Linked DNA regions of Mus musculus. The protein of the gene in region 2 interacts with the protein of the main gene of each other region in a pairwise test. Links are inferred from orthologs where the notes say so. Each region holds a gene or a part of one and is shown on either strand. Other genes may lie near its edges.

Region 1 (4,220 bases), on a different chromosome or scaffold from region 2:
GCTTTTTAAATAGCAAATTAGGGGCCCTGGGGATGTTGTTGAGAGAGCACTGGGATTAAGATTTGTGTTATCAATTAATATGTGTCACTGGAGTCACTTTATTGCTACAGGAAGATTCTAACACCTGCCCTATTTTAACTGGTTTGCCATTAGGATAAGAGATATCATTGAAAGCACTTTGTTAACCTCACTGTTAAAATATCACATATTTTACCCCATATTAGCATTATATTAGAAGGTACACAAGTCTCTTTTTAAGAGGTTAGAATATCTTAGTGGGGACAAGAACTGCATCTCTGTAGCTTTCCACAGTTCCTTGTATAAGCAGGTGCTGGGTAAGTGTCAGCTATATTAAACTGAATTGTTCCCTGGAGGTCTCTTCTAACTCCACACTAACTTTCCATCCCTTCGTACATGGAAACAGATGCTCCAGCAGGGCCCACAGCTGCTGCAAACGCTGACATAGCCCAGCACTGCAGCACTCCTTCCTCTGCACCCGAAGACCCTGGCCCTGATGTCACACAACTGGCAGTGGGCCTAGTTTCTTCTACCCTGTGGACTGCTCCTACCTTGGCTAGGAGGCCTTGTCGATGAGTCTTGCAGAGATGATGATGGAAAGCCAGTTCCAAATTGTATTGCAGATGTTCCACTCTCCTCTTCTCTTGGAGCCCAGGACGGTCTGAAGGAAGGGATGGGATGGGACCAGAGTGAAACGGAAACAACAAAGACAGTCGTGACCAACAAAATGGTGTCATGTATCTTTTTGAAGAGAATCTCTGTCTCCGTCTCTTTCTGCCTCTGTCTCTCTGTGTCTCTGTCCCTCCCCACCCCACCCCCATGCATGTGTGCGCACATGTGTGTACTGGTTTGACTACAGCAAACTGTATGACTCTAGGCCTGTCGAGCTAACTACTAGGGAAACTGGGCAGAGATGAAAGGGGTGGGGAGACATTCTAAGACTGAGAATGGCCACTTGATGTGAGCTCATTTTGGGACAGAATGCCTATACTGGCACTAGAGCTCTGGGTCCAAGCAGCTGAACGATAAATATTCAGAAGGCCTAGGGGAGTGGGCCTGCTGCTCTGGGATGGTTAATGACCATACAAGCCTTAACTAACTTTTAATCTCCTAACTAACTTTTAGCTACCTTGTCCCTGGTAACCTGCCTTTCATGTAGCTTATTCAATGTCAGGCACTAGATTTCTGTCATGGAAGTAAAATGTTAGAAGAGAGCTTCCTCATTCCTACAGGAGTGACTCAGAGAGGTGACCTTCTTACCAAGGACTCTAACGTACTCAGTGGCTCTCTTTCAGCCCCTAAGCTACCTTTCCCTTTGCTAGAAGTCTTGCTTCTAGCTTGAAGTCATGTTAGTAGAGCTGGAAGGCTTGCATGGTCATTAACCAACCCAGAGCAGCAGGCCCACTCCCCTAGGTCCTCTGAATATTTATCGTTCAGCTGCTTGGACCCAGAGCTCTACTGCCAGTATAGGCATTCTGTCCCAAAATGAGCTCACATCAAGTGGCCATTCTCAGTCTTAGTGGCTCAATCTGGAGGTGACTTAAAATTTTGGGTGCAGCCTAGATGAGTTATGTCAAAATCTGGACGTGGGACCCAGGGACTCAATTAGTCCTTAAAGCTCCCTAGGTGATTCCCATGTGTACTGTAAAGGAGTCACTGCCCTACACTGGCTAGTAGGTTAACATCTATTGGGGAAGTGGCTCATTTCCTTCCAACCTCCCTTCTCCATGTTCCCACTGCCCCACTGTATGCTATCCTCGCCCTGTCTTAAGGTTCCTCTGCATACTTTAGTCTGTTATATTTTACAGAAGCACGGGATAGAGCTCATTTCCTTATTTCAAGCAGTCTCCCATTAGTCACATCCAAAGGCCTAGGTTCGCCATTAGCTGCTGTGTCTCAGCCACGAGTGCCCGCTCCCATGCCCAGCCACACTCACTGGCATTGATGAGAACCAGGGCCGTGTAGAGGGCAATCTCATCCTCAGAAAAACACAGGGCGCTGAGGAAGTGGGAAAAGTCAAATATGGAGCTGATGAGCTCGCTGCAGCCTGCCGGAGTGGAGATGAAGAGAGTAAGCATGGTAGCTGCCTCCCCTCTCCCCCAAGGATGCCACTCTTGGGTGTTTAGAGCAGGGGGCAAACAACCATGTAGAGAGGCTTGTGATAGGATTGGCATCAGGACTTTCTCAATTCCCACTGCCCTCACCCAAGGCTCGAAACAGCTCCACACCACCGTATTTGCCTTCAAAAAAGACTGTGTGGTTGTTGGCATTGTAGGCCCTGCACATTCTGACTAGGACGACTTCCATTGCTCCTGGATAAAGGGGAGAAAGATGGGTAGGCCATGTTAAGCAGAGCCAGTGTCTTGTTAAGCCCTCGGTGTCTTGATTTCCTTAAGTCACCTCCCTCCACTTGGCCCTGGGTCTGTCCTTCCATCCCCAGCCCATGCTCCACCCCCACCCCCAGGGCCTGCCAATCCCTGTGCACCTGCTTTCAGTAGTATGATCTGGTCATTCTGGCAGAGCTCCATGAAGCCTGAAAGCCGCTTGGCAAACTCCACCACATACTGAATGGCCTCAGTGAGGTGGTGGGCACAGCGCTCCCACATCTCCCACATTGACTGCGGGGATAGAGGAGGAGACCTGTGATCCCCCCAAGCCCCTGCACCCCATAAACTTTAGGGTATGAGTTGTATATTGTTGTCAACCATAGAGCCTATTAGCACAAATGTAGCCAGGGTCAGTGCCTGTCAGTGAGTTACAGTTACTGCTATCCCCAGCTCAGTACAAGGAATCCCAGAGACTTATATAAGGGTTGAAAACTTCTAATTTCTTAACTTCAAACTCCTTTCTCCCTGATAACCTGGTCTCTTGTGAAGTCCATTCAATACTAGGTATTAGGATTCTGCTACGGGAGAGAAAAGGTTGCCAGAGAGCTTCCCGGATTCCCAGGGAGTGGCTCCAGATAGGAGGCGATGGCTTTCCTGCAACACTGTGATAGCTGTTGTGGAGAAAGGGAAACCATACATGATACAGTTTCACCTGCAAACAGTGTACACATTGTTAATTACTGCTCCTCCTGAAGAAGGTCTCAGCAACTGAGAGGTGCAAATGTGAAGTGCCAGCTGACTTCAGAGCCTCTGGTACTGTCAGAGTGTGACAGAAGGGGTGGCAGACACTGTGGAGCCATCTCTGTATGATCTTCTGTACTTCTCCCTCAGTGTAAATTCTGTTCTCAGAGGCCAGTTGTTGGACGGGCTGAGGATGATCTCACAGGTGTGTCTAGCCTCTGACACTGTAATTTGACATAGTTATCTACAAAGTTTATACCTGAGAATCAAGTTTCTAAAAATCTCACATTTTAGAGCTGGGTGGTGGTAGTGCACACATTTAGTTCCGGCACTCAGGAGGCAGAGGCAGGTGAATCTCTGAGTTCGAGGCCAGCCTGGTCTACCAAGTAAGTTCCAGGACAGCCAGGGCTACACAGCAAAACCTTGTCTTGGAACCAGCCAAACTAACCAACAACCAATCAACCAACCAACCAACCAACCAACCAACCAACAACCAACAACCAACCACAACCAAATAACCAACAACATCCAACCAACAACCAACCAACCAACCAACCAACCAACCAATCAACCAACCAAAAACATTCTCATGATTTTGCATTGGGCCACATTTATCACTATCTTTAGACACTTGTAGTTCACAAACAGCAGGTTGAACACAATTCAAAGCTTCTATTACAATGCCTGACAGGAAAGGGTGTCCAGTAAATGACCCTCAGATACTGATTAGCATCAGTTACTGATGGAGGATGAAAGGCAGTGTGGCAAGGTCTGGGTGGAAGAGGATGTAGGTTGCTAACTAGGTGAAATCTCAATAAGCAGGAGCTACAGAAATAGTCATCTTGCTGCCTGGATACAGACAGTCACACCTGTTAGCCAGCCTGTGATACCCTATTGCTACCCCCATTCCTGTGAAAGACGCCATATCTGGGCTCTACCAGTGTGTGTGTGTGTGTGCGCGCGCGCGCGCCCGCACCGCACCCGCGTGTGGTGGTGCCCTCCCTTCCCTCATGTCTCTTGCCCTTACCTTCCTCTGGTAGCTGGTCACCTCCTCCCGTGAAAAGAGGTTGGTGCGCTGCCGTAGAAGGTCCTCCAGTCGCAGCTGGCATGTCTCTCGGAAGGACTTGCAGACAT
Region 2 (4,693 bases):
TACAGCGTTCTGTTGTGATATCCTCCTGGAGAGTCACCACATTGGGGAGAGGCTTGATTGGAACGAGGTCCACTCCTAAAAGATGTTAACTCAGTATTACAGGGTGGAGGAAGATGTAGGACAAAATTAGTACCTAACCCACCCCTCCCCCTCAAATACCCAAGAGTCACCCACCTACAATAAGACTGGATACAGGCATAAACTTGGCAGCCACCTGCAGCCTGTGAAAGAGACAGATTTAAATACCTTTCATCCTCCCTTGGCAAGGTGACTTCTCATCCCCTTAAGAGGCACCTGTTAAGTGTAGTGGCCAAATGTCTATGCATACATTCAAGAAGCAACCTGCTGGGCATGGCAACACAGGGCTGCATTACCAGCCACTAAGGAGGGCAAGAGATTAAGACCAAAAGTTCAAGGCCATCCTTGGCAATTTTTCAGCGTCCCTGTCTCAAAATAAAGCAATTGGAGATATAACTCGGTGGTGGAGGGGCTGCCTAGCATGAGTTAAGTCCTTAGCATGAGTTAAGTCCTTAGGTTCAGTACCACAAGAGGGGGAAAATGACGCTCCCTTCCAAAATTTGAGAGAGACACATACTATGGAATATTTAATCTGAATTGTGTAATCGGATTCCCATCCTCCCCGAAAAGCAACTCAAAGCCAACCAGTGCCAGGAACGTGTCATCATAGCAGCCCCTGCCAAACGTTACCATCCGCCAGGCGCAGCACACAGGTCCAACAAGGCCCGGGCTTTCTGCAGGAACTGAAAGCGGCGATTGAGCTGGATCAGTTTGAAGGCAGAGCGCGAACGATAACCTGGATCGTGGAGAGTGGGTGTATAAGGCAATACCGTCTACGGAGGCCTTTCCCAGGAGGAAAGCCTCACAATCCCATAACCCCCTCGAAGGAAAAGGAACTCGGGACTAGAAGAAGCGAAAAGACGGGGATGTTGTTCCTCAGCGCGAACCCACTCACCAGTCTCCTTGGCCAAGTGATAGAACTTGTCCCGCCGGCTCTTGCCTACTTTGCCTTTCTTGCCCATGGCGGGATGGGGGAGTATCACTCACTCTGGGGAGAAAGAAAAAGGTGAGATCGTCTTTCCGAGCACTGGATCTCGCTTCGGTTCCTCAGGCGGTGGAGCAATCACTTACCCAGACGTTAGATAGCCCTTAACTCCGCAGGTTTTCAACTCTTAGGAAGCAGCACATGTAGGCAGTAATCGTACTTCCGCTTCTGCGCGCGTTTCCTACATTCCTGGCGTCATGATTTCCGCCATTTTGAGTGTGGCCAAAATTTTTTTGTCAGCAGGCCTTACAAGTTAAAAGTAGAGGCTAGGAAGTAGAGTGCAATAACTCGTATCCTAAACGCTAGGAAGCATCAACCAGAAGTTCTATATCTCTTCACAAAACTAGTGACCTCCAGTAGAGCCTCTACTAATACAGCCACTGTGTTTGTATCGCCACACACCCCGCCCATTGACCCGGAACTGTTCTCGGTGGTGACCCAGGGCGCATGCTTTCGCCTCCGCGCCTGCGCGATAGAGTGACTTGGATGCCGGCGATCCCTGCCGAGAGAGGGAAGATGGCGCTTGATGGGCCAGAGCAGGTAAGGATTCTGCCGCGGCGGCTGGGCGGCATCCAAGCTGAGTGTGGAGTGCACAAAATCTGAAGTGAGGGGTGGCCACGAGCGAGAGGGTCCAGTGGATCAGGGGTGGGTGGATCACGTCAGACCGGACTCTGCCTGGGACTGGATCTGCTGTGTCAGCGCCGCCCTGAGGAAAGCAGGACAGGGGTGGGTGGAAACTGAATGAAGCTGGCAAGCCGGAATGGCCTGGGCTTCGACCTGGACTTGGTCCCTCTGTTCTGCCTTTGTCTGTAGTAGTTAAACCCTGGGGATGTGTAGCTCTAGCCACAGGGCAGTGCGCTCGGTGGGTATATGGCCCCTTGAGACTCCTAAAAGTCCTCGAAGGTAGGCGGTAATTGCATCCTTGTAGTGGATTCAGAAATGAAGGCTTAGAACCAAGAACTAAGCCTCCGAAGTTCAAACACACAGACCTCGCCCATCGAGATACCAGTTTCTGAGGAAAAGGGAATGGTATTTTCCTGACCTTGTTTCTTAAGCTATATGGTAGAGTGCCTCGAAAATACTTTGGCTTTACCCTTTAGTACTTTATGCCTTTTCTTTTTCTTTTCTTTTCTTTTCTTCTTTTTTTTTTTTAACACTTACACTTGTCTTCAGATGGAACTGGAAGAGGGGAAGGCAGGCAGTGGACTCCGTCAATATTATCTGTCCAAGATTGAAGAACTCCAGGTGAGTACAGACAGCAAAGGGAGCTAGTGGAGGACGGGAGCTGGTAGGTGCAGATTTCTCTGTGTCCTTTTTCCACTGGGAGTGCAGCAAAGAGTTCTTTTCCAATGTTGTTCGTTTGCAGCTCTTTGCTTGTCTGTTTCTTATGTGTATATGTATATATGCCTGCGTAAGCTTATGTGTATCACATATATACAGATGTCTGTGCAAGTCAGAAGAGGGCAGTGGATCCCCTGAAACTTGAGTTACGTACAAATAGTTATGAGCTACTACAGGTGCTGAGAACTAAACCCAGGCCCTCTGCAAAAGCAGTAAGAAACCCTCTTGACTGCTGAGCCATCTCTCCAGCTCCTTTGTAGTCAGGAGGTACCAAGCTGTGTAAGGTAGATTGATAATCTCTTTGATGGGAATAGTGTTTAGTTAGGATTTTTTGTTTGTGTGCTTGCTTGCTTGCTTTTCCAGGTTTTTCGTTTTATGTGTTTGGGTGTTTTGCTTGCATCCAATGTCTGTGCCCTACATTTGCCTGTGAAGGCCAGAAGACAGTGTAGGATGCCCTAGAAGTGGAGTTATAGAAAGTTGTGAGCGGCCATGTGGGTGCTGGGAATCGAACCCAGGTTCTCTAGAGGAGCGGCTGGCTCATTTATCCACCTCTCCGGGCCCAAGAGTCAAATATTACACCTGTAAGGTTGCCACTCCAGAGCCGAGGCAGGAGCAGTGTTTTGAGTTTGAAGCCAGTCTGGATTACGTACAGCCCTGTCTGGAAAACAAAACCACCTACAGAGGAACCACTGGCCAAAGGTGGGAGTGGGAGCGAGAATGGGTTTGGGAGGGAAGCCGCAGAGAGAATGCCTGAACCTCAGGCACATTTGCAGTTCTTCCGTTTAGTTTACTTTTTCTTCTTTAGACAAATGTCTCACCATGTACCCGCAACTGACCCACAACTCCCCATGTAGACCAGGCTGGACTCAGTCTCAGAATTCGCCTGCCTCCCAGGTGCTGGGATAAAAGCATGAGCCTCCACACCCAGTATGGTTTTTATCCCTTTTTAATGCTTCTCTATGTGATTTCATCCCTCCTGGGTCTGAAATGAAGCAGGAGAGTGGATGCTGTTGTCTGTCTTCTGTTGTCTTGCCTTTGTCTTATTTTTGTTTATTTAATGGATTTGTTAAAATAGAATCTCATTGTATAGCCCAGACTGGTCTGACACTCTCCAGCTCCCAGCCTCAGCCTCATTAGGGTTGGAATTACGAGCCTGTGTCATCATGCCTACCTATTAGACTAACTGTTTTTCCTAATTTTTGGGTTTTTTTTTTTTTGTTTTGTTTTTTCCTAATTTTATATTTTGAAATCCTTATCACCACCACCACCCTAAATACTTAAATACAACCTGTTCAGTCTATATAATGTTACCTGTATGTATATGCTCACTTGGTATTGGATAACCAAATGGGGGTTCCTCCTTGGAGAAGTCTGTTGTCCTCTTAGCATTCCTCAGGAGCCCTTAATTCTTTGTCTAGGGTTGAGGCGCCATGAATGAACCTCTCCCCTCCGGGTTAGCAAGCAAGCCCGTTGGTGTCATCAATGCTCAGGACTTAATTTAAGCAGCCATATTGATGAGATTTCATGAGTGTGGCCTCTGACATTTCTAAGAGACAGTCTCCCAGCAGACTTTTGTCTCTCTGGCTCCTGGAATCTTGGAGCTCCGAGCCTTAGGTGTAGGGGTTGCGTTGTACGTGCGTCAGTTGGGACCCGGCACTGCTGAGTCTCGGTCTCTACATTTTGATCAGTTGTGGTTGTCTGTAATTGTCTCCGTTTGCTGCCAAGAGAAGTTTCTTGAGAAGGGATTAGAACTACATTTGTCTATAGTAAATGCACTGCAGTTAGGAATGATGCAGGTAAAGTGGTGATTGTAGGTTCTCCAAGATCCATAACTTAACTAGCCCAGGGTAGTTGGCTATGTTTCTAATACCAGGTGTGGTTTTCCTCCTGTTAAGCAGGCTGCAAGTCCAATTTGAGAACTGTTGGGCGCCACCACAGTAATCGCGGTTCATAGGCATCGTAGCTGAAGAGAACTGTTGGTTGCTCGCCCCCCCCCCCCTCCTGCCCCCGAGAAGCTTGTGTGGCGCCTTAGGGAAAAGGCAGCCAAATCAAGTGCTCTGGGTCCTGTGTGTGAAGTTGAACGGTGCCTTCAGCAATGGAGTCGTGCTTCACTCCTCGGGAGGAGGGGGCACCACGAGCAATAGAAATTGCCTGTGTTTTAGGTGGCTTCTCAGACGTGGTGGGTTTTTATTAACCAGTCCTGAATGGAGCATTATCAATCCAGATGGGAAAATTGCATTTAACTACAAGTATATCCACAGCTTATATGCATTATATATTATGTAGATA

Evidence for each region. The genes of interacting proteins can lie anywhere in the genome.
Region 1: the proteins of Psmc5 (region 2) and Rorc interact in binary tests that used the Homo sapiens proteins (3 or more experiments, as listed by UniProt). The link is inferred for Mus musculus from reciprocal best matches to the Homo sapiens genes PSMC5 and RORC.

Annotation. Positions count from the first base shown.
Region 1 is NC_000069.6:94,389,490-94,393,709, reverse strand, and holds part of Rorc (nuclear receptor ROR-gamma), read right to left. Parts: coding exon 4,114-4,220; intron 3,311-4,113; coding exon of another isoform or gene 3,251-3,310; exon of another isoform or gene 2,637-3,250; coding exon 2,504-2,636; intron 2,331-2,503; coding exon 2,223-2,330; intron 2,066-2,222; coding exon 1,955-2,065; intron 680-1,954; coding exon 570-679; intron 1-569. UniProt on the Homo sapiens protein: Nuclear receptor that binds DNA as a monomer to ROR response elements (RORE) containing a single core motif half-site 5'-AGGTCA-3' preceded by a short A-T-rich sequence.
Region 2 is NC_000077.6:106,254,612-106,259,304, forward strand, and holds the start of Psmc5 (26S proteasome regulatory subunit 8), read left to right. Parts: upstream 1-1,573; 5' UTR 1,574-1,579; coding exon 1,580-1,603; intron 1,604-2,236; coding exon 2,237-2,308; intron 2,309-4,693. Other genes in the region: pre-rRNA 2'-O-ribose RNA methyltransferase FTSJ3, read right to left, coding at 1-75, 175-221, 709-814, 974-1,040.